Mus musculus: one gene and its partners. The protein of the gene in region 4 purifies or fractionates together with the protein of the main gene of each other region. This does not show direct contact. Links are inferred from orthologs where the notes say so. Each region holds a gene or a part of one and is shown on either strand. Other genes may lie near its edges.

Region 1 (3,791 bases), on a different chromosome or scaffold from region 4:
ATATACATAAAAATAATAAAATAATAATTTTTTTGTTTTTGTTTTTTTTCGTGACAGGGTTTCTCTGTATAGCCCTGGCTGTCCTGGAACTCACTTTATAGACCAGGCTGGCCTAGAACTCAGAAATCCGCCTGCCTCTGCCTCCCGAGTGCTGGGATTAAAGGCTTGCGCCACCACGCCCGGCAAATAATAGTTTTTTAAAAGTCAAGTCATACAGCTCTAAACAGTAAAATGAAGCCTATCTTTGTGTTCCTTCTTAGATGGAACCATTTGATGTTTATCTTTCAAGAATTTATAAGCATACATTTTTTTGGTTTGTTTTTGTTTTTGAGACAAGGTATCTCTATGTAACCTTGGCTGTCCTAGAATTCACTCTGTAGACCAGGCTGGCCTTAAACTAAAAGATTCACCTGCCTCTGCCTCATGAGTGCTTGGATTAAAGACGTGTTTTACCAGCACCAGTAAGCATCAAATGTTTAACATTGGTTATATGACATTGTTTCTCAGTAGTCTTATTTTCCAAGGGGTATAACATAGACATGTTCCTGCTTCAGTGCAGATGGTTGTGACTTAGAACTTTTTGTTTTGTTTTGAGATAGGATCTTGCCATGTAGACCAGGTTGGCCTCAGATTATCATTTCTCTTGCCTCAGCTCTCCAAGTGCAAGGATTACACACATGAACCAGCACATCTCTGCCTGGCTTTAACATAGAGCTTTTAAATGTTTTGATGATATTTGAAGTAGGGGCTGGAGAGATGGCTCAGCAGCTAAGAGTGATTCCTGTCATTGCTAAGGATCCAAATTCAGTTCCCAGCAGCCACATGGCAGCTCACGACTCAAGTTCTAGGAGATCCGACATCCTCTTCTGACATTCACAGGCTCCTTGGTGTACTTACAAGCAGGCATACAAATACATATTTAAATTAAACTAAATTAAAATTTAAAGACAGTATTTGAAGTTATACAGACCACAGTTTGATCATTCTTTCCTTCATACAAATTTAATTGTTTCTAGTTTTGCTATTGTAATATGTATATATGTATATATGGTAGATAATACCACAAGCCTGGTGGCTCACACCTGCATCCTGGTATTTGGAAGGTTGAAGCAGGATAATTGCCACCAGTTTGAGCCCAGCCTCAACTACAGAGCAAAGTTCCAGACCAGTTGGGTACATTGCTAGATAATATCAGTGTGCTATAGACAAGTTCTTTGTGTATTCTTATCCCCGACATTTCACTGCTCAGATGTCTAGCTTTCTTAGAGAACACCAGCCATATTTTAACATCTCTCTTAGAAGAACTATTGTTTGATTTGTAGGGAAATTAATTTTATCACTAGATAAAGATACTTACGAAGAAACCGGACTTCAAGGTCGTCCATCTCGGTATTCTGGCAGAAAAAGTATGAAGTTTGGTAAGTATTACATGCGTTCCACTGGAGCCTAGCAAGTCAGTTTTCTTGTAACAAAACGTGAATGCCTTCCCTCTGATCTCTAATCGGAAAAATATGGTTCTTATCTTTGAAATCCTGACTCAAGGAGCTATTGGTTGCACTTCCTGGGGGATTAGATTAGTTGGTGCTGTTAAATTGTTCCTCTTTGGCTGTACACCACATTTTATAAGGGCTGGAGAACTGGACTACCCCTTGTATGCAGTGAAGAGGAACAACTTGATGTGCTTCGTACACAGATTCTTTGTGATTAGCAGTGGAAATTCACAAGTGAAGAGTTGGTTTTGAGGAAACTCTCTGGTGTGGACATCAATAACTAAGGCTAGCACAGACACAGGTACCTGATCTATGATCTAGGAAGGGCTTAAAGAATTTAAACCAACTATAGCTAGCAGCTCTCAACACTAGAAATAGCCCGCTGAGGGATATGTTTTTGATGAACACAATCTGTACAACTTACCAACTTACCAAAACTTTAGACATTTCTCTACAGTGTAAGCTCTGTATAATTCGAATGAAACAAGTATTCCTCTTTCTACTTTAAGTCATTTCCATTGACCTAATGGATTTATCCCTTAACCTGGATTCTAAGAAGTACAGAAGAATATCTTGGTCCTTCAAAGAGAAGAAGCCTTTGAAGTTTGATTTCCTTTTGGCTTGGCATCCTACAGGTATGAAGTGTGAATTATATGATGATACAGTGAGTTGAGGATCTGTTGGGCATAACGGAGGATCGAGTGGTGATATACTGCTGTGGTAGGGGATATTGCTTACGTAGGTGTGTGGGTATTGTGACAGAGCTGCTCTAGCTTTCCAGATGTCCTCAGCGCCTCAGCTCAGGGTAGGTTTTAAAGCAATCTGCCCCAATTTTCTTGGGTGTTCCTGCAGATCTAGAAAGCTTCACAGTGGTTTCAGAATAGCTAACGTGTAGTCTACCCCTTCTTCCTCTCTGCTTACATTAAAGAGCCTTTGCTAGAATAATTTTAAATCAGCATCAATTATAATTATATGTGTGTGATCTTTATCATTATTACAGGATAGTAACCCAGGAAGACTATTAAATGTCAGACAGCATTTGTTATGACTTTTAATTGATTGTAATACTAAATTTAGCGCCAGCTTATATGTTCATCAAGTATATTAATTTGCTTAGAACTTCCACGTGTATTGCTCCTTTTAGAAGTATCTCTTTGGCCCATTACAAGATTGTAATGAACCAGACCATTGGGAATTACGGTGGTGTGGTATGTCCTGTGGAGGAGAGGGAAACAAAGCACGTTTTGGAACTCTGCATCTATCTCCTCCTGGGAAGTTCCTCAACACATCAGCCCAAGAGAGCTTCTCTCTGTCCAGACGTTATAATGCTCGATGCCTCTCCTCCTCCTGCGTACAGCACATATGCAAGAGAGGAAGATGTTTTCTGATGTTTCTGTAACTTCTCCAAGGACTGTTCATGCAGTGGGTTTTGTTGTTGTGTTCTTTAAGATTTATTTATTTAATGTATGTGAGTACACTGTCACTGTCTTCAGACACACCAGTAGAGGGCATCAGATCTCACTACAGATGGTTGTGAGCCACCATGTGGTTTCTGGGAATTGAATTCAGGACCTCTGGAAGAGCAGTCCAGTCCTCTTTAACCACTGAGCCATCTCTCCAGCCCTTTGTAGCTTTTTATTCCTAGCCTACTAATTACTACCAGAGAAACTAAGGATGCTCCTGAGATTTTACACTCTCTATGAGCCCGCAAAGTCAGCACAGGTGTCATGGGTGCAAGTCCTGGCTCAAAAAAATAAAGGATTTGATTCCTCACAGTGGTAGCTGTTGACAAGTCAGGAAGCCCTGGTGGCAAGCGGATATTGTTACTCTCAGGACTCAAAGGCCTAAGAACCTGGAGCCTGGTACCTAGGAGCAGGAGAAGCCAGGCAGCTCAGCTCCAGGAGACAGAGTGATTTCACCTCCACTCGGCCTTCTTGTTCTCTCTGGGCCCCAGTTGGAATGACCTGCATGTCCACCCACCCTAAGAGTGGGACTTCCCTACTCGGTCCATGAACTCACATGCCAGTCTCCTTTTGAAACACCCTCACAGACACACCTAGAAATGAGCTTTACAACTAATCCAATCTGACACCTAGAATAAAGTAACAAATAGGAGAATCAGCATTCGAACAAGGTCACCAAATCTCAGTTGGCATAGAGTGTCATAGAGTTGGTACGTGTGCCATGGGTTATATTACAGAACAGGAGGGTAGAGCCCTAGAAACCCAGTCCTTTTATAGTGGGAGTAAGCCTTCCTGCTCGGCCCACAAATGGTGGGCGGATCATTATTTCTATGTTACT
Region 2 (2,913 bases), on a different chromosome or scaffold from region 4:
GGAAGAGGCTGTGCCTGTTGATTCCCCTTCTTACCAAGAGAGGTTTGGCCCTTTCACAGCCCCTTTTTCTTAAAGGCCTCCGAAAGGGTGTTTGCATGCCTGTCTGTTGGCCCCTGCAACTGGAGTCACTCTACATTTGATTGTGAGCCTCCGTGTAGGAGCTGGAAGCTGAGCCCAACTTGTTTAAGTGCCCGTTGTTTAAAGGCGACAGAGTCAGTTGTAAACCATCTGACAGGCAGGAGGCAGAGAGAGCTACCCGGGACACTTTCAACAAGGCTGCACCTCCCAATCCTTCCAGCTGGGACCACAGCCTTTAGCTATATGGGAGCTTCTTATTCACAGCAGCCCGCCTCCCAAGGCCAGGAGTACACTCATGCCTCACTGGGGCCTGCTGAAAGGCACCTGAGCCATGGTAAACTGGAGATCCCCTGCTATTTGCAGTCCTAGGACACAGTGCTGAGCTAGATTATGTAAGTATAGCTGGGGGTTATTCACCAGTGTTTCTGCTTGAACCCACCTCACCTGTAACACTCTGTGGAACCTTGGCTGGCCTCAAACTCTAGAGATATGCCGGTCTGTCTACCTGGTGTTAAGATTGCAGAGGTATGCCACCAAGCCCAGATTTACATGTGTTCTTATATTAAGGGTCTAGGAACATTTAAAACTCATCTCGAACCACACGGGGAGCACATTCAAGGCAAGTGCACATTTTATGGTTTAGGAATGTTTATTCCACCCCTGAGCTAAGCAGTTACATCCGAAATGTCTGCACAGAGCCTTCACAACCATGGATGCAAGGTAAGGCAGCAAGCCCTCCACTTCAAGCTGGTCACCTGAGTGCTGGTTATCAGTCATTTCCATTGGAGAACTGTGGGATGCTGCTGTCACCTCCTGTAATGTCCTGTTCCCACAAGTGGGCCTGGAAACGGTCACTCCATTGCTTCTGCAACCTCCTCACCAGCACTGTCTGAAAGCTCTTCAACGGGCTCTCTGTCCAGCAGACAGCTTCTTGAGACAGACTTCTTGATGGCTTCCCGCTCTCCTACAGCAAAGGAAGATGTCCTAGGGCATCGTCCTCCCCGCTGAGCCTCAGTCCCTGCTTACGCTGGCCTGGCATTGCTTACCTTCGTCAGTGCAATTCTGCAACAAGATCAGCAGCTGTCTCCTGTTGTACTGGATCAGGAACTTCTGACAGGTTCTGATGGTACCTGGCACATGAAAGAGCTTTTGTGGACAATGGCTTGTGAAACGGTTACCGTCTTCCAGGGGGTGGGTGGTGGGAGGAACATCTTGTTCTCAGTGGATAGAAGCAAGACCCACCCACCTGGCAACTGCTCTGAACAACAGCCACCATCCACACCACCCGTACCTCCCACGTGTAATGTGTTGAAGAAGCACGGGTAACGGTGGCCTTTGTTCTCCAAATAGGTGATGAAAGGAAGAGCTGACCACACGAGCTGGTAGAAATCCTTCCGGCATCGCAGTAGCACGACTCCAGTGTAGGCATTGAGGTATCGGACTACAGGAGGAAGGGGAAATTGGGAAAGAAATTAAAATTCACAGAATTATACAGAAAAACCCTATCGTAGGCAAACGTCACATGGGAGGATGTGCTGGCATGGACCACCCCAGCCGGGATAGGGGTCCCTGGGATGTGGGTTCTCGAGGTCAGGTGGCTAAGGATTCGGTGGTGATAAACAAACAGAGGCAGTCTGAATCTGCGTGTATTTTGCAGCTCTCCGTCAAGGGTTTTTATACTTAGAGAAATAGGTGTTACAGCTCAGCTCGGAAAAGTTGTGTTCAGTGAAACAGCAAAATAGGACAGACATAACAACCACCTGGTACATCAAATACAAAATCATCCAAGTCACAACTTCAAAGAAAGGTGTTCTCAGTAAAACATACGAAAGTCATCTGAGGCTGGGGCAAATTCCCAAAAACATGCCAATGAATTTTTATGATCAGTTCCCTGTTCTGTAGCTCTTTAAACTGTTTTAATTTTTCCTATATAATACTTTCTTAAACAAGATACCAAAACCTATTTCTGATGACGCAGGTGCAGCCATATAAAATATTGTTGGGAAAGTTTATATTTATTAATACTATCTTACACATGATTTATAAAGAGAAGTGCTGTCTTTCCTGGAGATGAGGTCATGTTTAGTGACTCCATCTCAAGGGATGGTTTTGTAGTCATAATACTCGCTTAAGATCTTGACCTAGGCTATCAGGAACACCTCATATACAGGAAAAGGAATAGAAAACATAAAACTGATAAGTAGCCAAAAGATCTACGACTCAATAATTTTTCTCCTGTGAAGAGTTCCACAGCCTGTTCCAGGAGGTCTCCCCTTTTTGAGATCAAACGCCTCAGCCTGTGGAATTTGTCACACAGATCCTTACTAGAGGTGGTGTGGCAATGCACCACACTAAAGATTTGTAATCGTGTGCTGTTTTGCTTGCATGTATTTACACATTTGTGCCTGGTGTTGTCCTCTGGAACTGGAGTTTCAGACTATTTCAGATAGGAATCTTTCCTCTCCCAAAGACCGCTGAGCCCTCTCTCCATCTCCACCTAACATTCTTGAAAGTGGCTTTTTTGTTTTGTTTTTGTCTGCTTTTAGACAGTCCAGTTAGGACTTCCTGGCTGGCCTGGAACCTGCCTTTGCTCCCTGGGGACTGCTAGGATAAAAGCATGGGCCGCAGCACCCAGCTTGAAAGGAAACGTTAAGGGAAACCTTCCGCCCTCAAGAAGTCGCTGACCACTCAGGTCAATGAATGGAGAGAGAGCCCAGCTCCACCGTAATTAACATTAACGCTGCAGGGGGAAAAAAAATCCTTGCCGGGGAAACGCCTGTTTTCCTGTAGAGCTCAGCGAAAGCAAGAAAACTTTGTGGTTTTATGTATGTTTGA
Region 3 (3,305 bases), on a different chromosome or scaffold from region 4:
TTGAATGAAGGACTCAAGCAAAGACAACTGGTGTGCAAGCTACAAAGTGGCCAAAGGACACCGAAGCTGCTAGAGGCCTAGAACGGGTAACGTAAACAGCAGTCTGAAGTCTGACTGCAGCCTTCATTCTGGGTATTTAACCTTGTAGTGTATGTGGGAATAAAACAGTATGTGACCTGGGCAGGGTGTGGGGAGGCCAGAGAAAGTAGTCGCAGCACCTTGAGGGAGTGGGTCAGATTTGGGAGCTAGGTGTGTTAATGTCCTTGAGGTAGAGGATTGGGGAAAGAGGTAATTTGTATGTACTTCCTAGTTTCTAGCCTGGACAAGCTGTGCTATTCTAGGAGATGAGGCAAGCAGATCAGAGACAGCTGACCTCAGGGGACCAACGGCTTGGTGTTGGATAGCTAATCTGAGGTAGCTCTTGGATGTCCATCCAGGCAGCTTTGGGTGTCATGGGGTGAAGGAGTCGTGGGAAAAGTCTGCACTGGCGGTGACCCCTTGGAAACCATGATGGGAGGGAATCTGGGCCCAAGAGAATCGGCTAGAGCCTCGATTCCAACAGTGTGAGCAGATGGCACCAAGAGAGCACTTAGTGTGTGTTTAACAAGGAACCAGGATGGGTTAGATCACAACTATCTCAGATCCTCACTGCTTGTGACTTGGAGATAGTTCAGGGATGCCAAGTGACAGATGACAGGCTGAATGCTGTGACACACACTTCACTTACACTGAGTAACAATCTCCAGATGACTATATGCATTCATAGAAATTACCTGAAATAATAGCACCATGAAGATCTGCCTTTAGGAGCTTGGCCTGAATCATCTGTGGCTGCCTAGGAGGTGAAGAGCCCACAGAGAAGAGTCGGTAACAAGCCAGTAACAGTAACTGCAAACACAAACACAACCCCACAGCCTGCTGGTTTCTCAGAGCATCTCTAATGCTCTCCAGGCTTGGCATCTGCTCCCATGGCTTCCACGGCTTCAGAACTAAAACTCACGTGTCCGGCTTGAGCCCATTGCACAGGTCCCGGATGTACTGTTTCCAGAGTTCATGGAGAGGGAGGAACAGGCTGTATCTGTAAAGAAGCCAGAAGCATGAGCTCGGCGTTTACAGCGCGCAGCACACAGAGCTGGGCTCCAGGCTGAGGATGAGCGTAAGGGAGCACCGGAGACTGTGTGGGAGGCCAAGGCTCTCCAAAGTGCCAAGTAACTCCCCAACCTGCTACTCGAACTCAATTTCTTCCCTGGTAGAACCTCTTCAAGGCTAAATATCTGCTCTCAAAAAGGTGGTCCTTCACCTAGATGCCCACCCTCCTGGCCAGACATACGATGGTGGAGCCCCTGGCTCAGACCCCCAGCTGAAGGTGGCGATGCACCATCAGCCATAATGACCCAGGTGCTGTTCATCCACATTCCTTTTCCCAAGACAAATGAGCAAAGGAACATTAGTCTTCTTAGCCCACACTTCCAGGAGGTTAAACTTAATAGTCCTTGGGAGGAGCAATCCCTTCTGTAAGGTGACAGGACTGTGTAGAAGGCGAGAGTAGAGCCCGGAAGCTTTCCTCTGGGGTGATTATCATATGTCTTGGTGCACAGGGTTAGGCAGTCAAGAACAATGGCTCAAATCAGAAACAAGCACTTCCTTCAAGGAACCCAGAGAGGCAGATCCTTGGCAAAGTGACACTGTCATGCCATCTGGGACATAGAAAGATATGTGGCTAAAGTGCATTATACAAAGCCAGTAAACAGTAACTGCAAACACAAACTCAGAACTATATCAAGAAAGACATCCTCCCACAAGACAGTGATGTATTCCTTTCAGAAATGTCTGAAATGAGTAGGTGGGACCGTTCCTTGGCAGTAACCTCTGAGTGGGTGATACTGTCTAGTTATGTTCAAAGCTACAGGAAAGTACACATTAAGGCATATCAGTTCCTCTTTTCTAGAAAGCTGAAAGCAAACAGCCTGTTGCCATGGAAAACAGACTCACTTATTATTAGTGAGGCTAGGACAGAAGCTAAGTGATGAGAACCCTCAGTCTCACCAATGCCTGCCCCTCAGAGGCCAAGCACAGGCACAAGGAAATTGGAAGGGGGAGGCTGCCCTCTTGTGGCAAGAAGTACCTGAGCATGAGTATGTAGGGATGTCCAGTGAGGCCCCCCCCCCCCCCAGTCCTTGAACCCTGACAAAGATGACAAGGCAAGGTTGGATGGTAAGACCATTAGGAAAGATGGGCATACCTCTGTTGCTCTGGTTTAATGTCAAAGAGCCGCATGTCTCTCCTCTGTTTGGCAGAGAGGCCTTTGGATTTCTTCTTTGGCCTTGGCCTTGGCTTTAGGCGAGTGAAATATTCCAAGATCACGGCCTTGCGCTGCAGATGGCTCTCACAGTCTTCTTGGCTCATGTGAGGTATGCTCTGCTTCAGGAAGGCCCGCACAAAGGCCTCAGCCCGCTGGCTTCCCAGCTCCTGCTCGGAGACATAGTGGTGTTGTTCACGGTTCTTGTGCCCACAGACCCCAGGGCCCTCATACCCTGTTCCAGAAAGCCACTATCTTTGCTGATCCATCTCTCTATCCACTGAGGCTCACAAATCTCTTGCCAAGTGTTTGCTACGCACAACTGCCAAGATGTAAAAGAAACACTCATACACTAATTGTGACAGTGTCCCACACTGCAGCCAGGTCAAACAATGACTTCCTGTCCTGCTTCTTGAGGATCCTCTACTGAGGATTCAAAACTTTTTGTAATTTAGTACTTCTCTAATCCTTGTGGGGAAGGAAGTTTGAGACATGGATGATAGAGGTTAATCAGTCATGACTACAAGGCCAGCTTAAAGGGGAAGGGAGCTGGGGTTCTTAGGAAAACGAGCCAGTCTAGCACTAGGGGAAACTGCCTGTGGTTTCCAGGAAAGTCACGTCCTTTGAGGGGGCATTCTGACAGTGAGCTTCACAGTCCTCTTTAATCGCTTTTCCTCTGGAGTTAGGGCAGCAACAGTCTATTCCTCACTGGGCAACAGGTACCTCACTTGGCCTTCATCACCTGAAACCCTGTTACCTGAGGACCAACCTCTTCCCCGGGCCATTGGCTGGGCTCTTTTTTGCACTAACTGCACAGTAAGGCCAAGTCTGGGCTAACTGCCAGCTTTAGGTTAACGTATGAATGCTGACTTCTACCCTCTCTATGGTAAAGCAAGGGAGTGAAAATACAGAATACACAACCTTCAAGGTACTTGAAGGTAGGGATGGCTAAACAATCCATCATTGATATGACGACAGTTTGGTTCTTTTAAATATACATGTGGTC
Region 4 (3,791 bases):
GAGCTATGGGGGATGGGGGTGGAGGTGGGGGGTGGGGAGCAAGGTCTGAGTGGCCTCAAGGAAAAGAGATTTTCTAAGGGGGATCAGTACTTGAGAGTCCAGATCTGTTTGAAATGGCATTGAGTGTGGAATGCCCTGTACACACCCATAATCCCAGCAGGAAAATCAAGAAAAAGGCCAGCCTGGGCTATGTAGCTGGGTCCCCCCAACCCCCATTATTACTTGAAAAGAGCAATAGTATTGCTGCCTGTGTTGTGTATCTTCTGTTGCCAGTAAGAACACCACAGACTAAGTCATTATAAACAGCTACGCTTTGGCTTATACTTCAGGTCCAAGGCTAAGGGGCGACATATAGTTATAGGCTTCTTGCTTATAGAGTCCCAACATAGAAAATGCAATACTACTGTGAGTAACACTGTATATCCTGATGGTTACGAGCTCTCTGACTCCTGTAGGTGTCCATGTTGGAAGATGCCAGCGACTGCATATGAAAGAGTAGTTTACAAGAGCCCCTCAGAGTATCACTACATGAAAGTCTGTCTGTAAGTCCCTCTTGTGAGTTCTGTTTTATATAACCTCTTTTTGTTTGATTGTTTCCTGTTTTGTGAATTTGAAAAGCATGGCATTTAATGTGATATTTTCTCTTCTTAATACTTTTTTACAGAGAGTTTCAAGAACATGGGGTTGGACTGAACGTGGCACAGTTCAAACAGCTGCTCGTCTCAGCCCTGAGAGACCTGTTTGGGGAGGTATGGAATAGCTCGGCAGATTAACATTCTTAAGGTTTTGGTACAGAATTTTAGAAAAGGGACTGAGCGTATAACTCACTGGGGGAATCATGGCCTACCTTGGGCCTAGTTGTACCTGTTACAAAAAACAAAAGAACTTGTTTGTTTATTTGTTTGAGGCAGGGCCTCTGTATGACTCAGGTTGTCTGGAATGTGCTCTGTAAACCAGACTAACATCAAATCCCAGAGCCACCTGCCTCTGCCTCCAAAGCCCTGGGATTAGAGGCTCGCAACATCATTCCCAGTTTAGAAAGAGCAGCTTGTAAGAAATATATATATATATGTGTGTGTGTGTGTGTGTGTGTGTGTGTGTGTGTATGTATGTATTTAATGTTGTACTAGAAATTGTCTAGAAGCTGGCTTTCAGAAATAATGAATTCTGTAGGTTATACTAGTGTATCCTGTATTTGACAAGAAATCTATCAGACACCAGCTTGGTCTCAAACAGTGCTATCAGTTATCGTCTGGACGGTAACCAGGAGACATCATTGCCGTCTTTGAAAAGGCAAAGGGCTTACATGAGCACTAGCATGCTTCAGTGCGAGGGACAGCGGGATGTTCTGAGTTCGGTCCCTGGAAGCCACATGGTAGAAGGAGAGAAGCAGCTCTCAGGACTTTCTTCTCCCCTCGACACACTTGCAGTGGCACAGGCACACATACATATGTATGTGGGCAAACAGACCTCCATAGGTGTGACGCGACACACATACATGTGGGGAAGACACGCACATAAATAAACCTTAAAGCAATAGAAAGGTCTAAGAGTGTGAGCAGAAGCAGCTGTGCTCTGTGATGCTGGCTGACATTTCCACGTGCTCTCAGCCTGTCACAGCCCAGCACCTGGAGCAGCTCGCTCTGAGCGTTCGCCTAACAGAAGAGGAACTTTGGAAACGGAGGGGAAGAACACAGATAGGGTTGACTGTCAGGAGCTGACTTACTCTGTTCAAGTTTTCCATGTACCTTATCAGAGAAATTCTGCAAAGACTGTAAGAAGATGGAAAGATGAGATTTAGGCTAGAGAAAATATTTGAAAACTGTATGTCTGACAAAGAAGTATTATCTAGGGTATTAGAAAGAATTCTCAGAACCCAGTAGTGTCGGGTATAATGATTTACACCTGTAATCAATCACAGCACTAGATAGGTTGAAGTTGGATGATCAAGGTTATGTGTAGCAAGACCCCATCACACACTAAGGAGTCCAATCATAAGAAAACAAACAGTCCAAATAAAATAGGCTGAAACTTTCACAGACATTTCACTAGAGAGTGTGTATAATTGGCAAAAAAAAAACCCCACACACATGAAAATATTAGATACTAGGGTAGTGTGTACCAGCTGCCACATTAAAGTAAGTATGTACCTACCATACGATTCAGCAATAGCACTCTTGGGTATTTACACCAGAAAACTGAAATTTACGTTAGCATGAGAGCCTATACCGTGGACAGGTGAGATGGTTTAGCAGGCAAAGGGGTTGCCGTCACGCCTGATGACCTAAATGTGATCCCTGTAACCCAGACGGTGGAAGAAAAGAACTGCCTTCTTCAAGCTGTCCTCTGACTTCCATCCGCACATCAGGGCACATACTCATGCTCACAATAAGTAAATATAATAAAAAAAATAATTTAAAGCAAAAATCTACACTTGGCCCCGAGAGGTCCCAGCAGTTGCAGAGCACCTGGGTTCGGTTCCTAATACCCACATAGGGATACATAACTATCTTGTAGCTCTACTTGTATAGGATCTGTTCTCTTCTTCTGGCTTCCTCAGGCACCAGGCATGCACACGGTACACAGATACACATGTAGGCAAAAGGCTGTGTACATAAAAATAAATCTTGAAAGGAAAAAAAAGGAATCCTGCACACCAGTGTTTGTGATAGTCTTATAATAACCAGAAGCTGAACACATCACATTTGTTCTTTAATGGATGGATTGTTCAGTGATTGTAGCTTCATATCATGGAATATAATCAGAGAAAAGAACAATGCTAGACAGAGCTCTAGAAAATTCGGCTAAATGGAAAAAGCCAACCGTAAATACGTTACTTACTGGGTAATTTCTATGTATATAATGTTCTTCCTACAACGTAACCTGTAGAAAGAAGTGGTTGCCAGGGTTACGGATGGGAAATGGAGTGGGTATAAGTAATAAAGGGCCGATAGAAGAGTCTTGTGATGGCCCAGGTTTTTATCTTAGTGGTGGTGGTAGTTATAAGAAGTTGCCTGTGTGGAAGCATACACATAAATACATCTGCGTACACATAATGTCTGAGCTGAATAAATCCAGTTGTATCAACACCAGTTCTACAGGTTACGTTATAGGCAGAGCATTATATACGTAGAATTACTCAGTAAGTAACGTATCTAGAGTTGGCTTTTTCCATTTAGCTTAATTTTCTAGAGCTTTGTTCTTTTCTAGCATTGTTCTTTTCTCTGATTATATTCCATGATATGAAGCTACAATCACTGAACAATCCATCCATTAAAGAACAAATGTGATGTGTTCAGCTTCTGGTTATTATGAGGCTTTGATCACGCACAGCAGTTACATAAGATGCTGGTTTATGGGGACGCTGAGGGAAGAGTGTGTGTACTTTCCTATAGAGTGCAACAAATTAAAAAATAAAACCTGAAATTAGTATGTCATAGGAAAATGTGGTTTCAGGAGCTAGAGTTTAGTAAGATATGGTTTCTCTCCGTTGGGCTGTCTTGTTAAATGGTGACAAGGAGGGGAGATGTATAGATGAGCAGAGTATAGAATCGGGCATAAGGAAGAACTCAGTAAGTAGATTGATCTTGTGATCTTATAAATCAGGACTCTAAGCTTGTAAATAAGGACTTTGTTTGTTTGTTTTGGTTTGTTTTTTCGAGACAGGGTTTCTCTGTGTAGTTCTTGCTGTCCTAGAACTCACTCTGTAGACCAGGCTGGCCACGAACTCAGAAATCTGCCTGCCTCTGCCTCCCGAGTGCTGGGATTAAAGGCGTGCACCACCAAGCCCG

What was found. Proteins that work in one complex are often made in the same cells at the same time.
Region 1: the proteins of Rpp14 (region 4) and Rpp40 purify together in Homo sapiens (co-immunoprecipitation; 3 studies listed by BioGRID and IntAct, with this or other methods). This does not show direct contact. The link is inferred for Mus musculus from reciprocal best matches to the Homo sapiens genes RPP14 and RPP40.
Region 2: the proteins of Rpp14 (region 4) and Pop5 purify together in Homo sapiens (co-immunoprecipitation; 3 studies listed by BioGRID and IntAct, with this or other methods). This does not show direct contact. The link is inferred for Mus musculus from reciprocal best matches to the Homo sapiens genes RPP14 and POP5.
Region 3: the proteins of Rpp14 (region 4) and Pop4 purify together in Homo sapiens (affinity purification with mass spectrometry; 3 studies listed by BioGRID and IntAct, counting the BioPlex papers as one, with this or other methods). This does not show direct contact. The link is inferred for Mus musculus from reciprocal best matches to the Homo sapiens genes RPP14 and POP4.

The regions. Positions count from the first base shown.
Region 1 is NC_000079.6:35,899,640-35,903,430, reverse strand, and holds part of Rpp40 (ribonuclease P protein subunit p40), read left to right. Parts: intron 1-1,322; coding exon 1,323-1,418; intron 1,419-1,999; coding exon 2,000-2,125; intron 2,126-3,791. UniProt on the Homo sapiens protein: Component of ribonuclease P, a ribonucleoprotein complex that generates mature tRNA molecules by cleaving their 5'-ends. Also a component of the MRP ribonuclease complex, which cleaves pre-rRNA sequences.
Region 2 is NC_000071.6:115,238,768-115,241,680, reverse strand, and holds the end of Pop5 (ribonuclease P/MRP protein subunit POP5), read right to left. Parts: intron 1,520-2,913; coding exon 1,370-1,519; intron 1,209-1,369; coding exon 1,125-1,208; intron 1,043-1,124; coding exon 930-1,042; 3' UTR 709-929; downstream 1-708. UniProt on the Homo sapiens protein: Component of ribonuclease P, a protein complex that generates mature tRNA molecules by cleaving their 5'-ends. Also a component of the MRP ribonuclease complex, which cleaves pre-rRNA sequences.
Region 3 is NC_000073.6:38,265,127-38,268,431, forward strand, and holds part of Pop4 (ribonuclease P protein subunit p29), read right to left. Parts: intron 2,470-3,305; coding exon 2,243-2,469; intron 1,079-2,242; coding exon 1,001-1,078; intron 836-1,000; coding exon 774-835; intron 1-773. UniProt on the Homo sapiens protein: Component of ribonuclease P, a ribonucleoprotein complex that generates mature tRNA molecules by cleaving their 5'-ends.
Region 4 is NC_000080.6:8,083,253-8,087,043, forward strand, and holds part of Rpp14 (ribonuclease P protein subunit p14), read left to right. Parts: intron 1-455; 5' UTR 456-471; coding exon 472-542; exon of another isoform or gene 543-555; intron 556-664; coding exon 665-749; intron 750-3,791. UniProt on the Homo sapiens protein: Component of ribonuclease P, a ribonucleoprotein complex that generates mature tRNA molecules by cleaving their 5'-ends.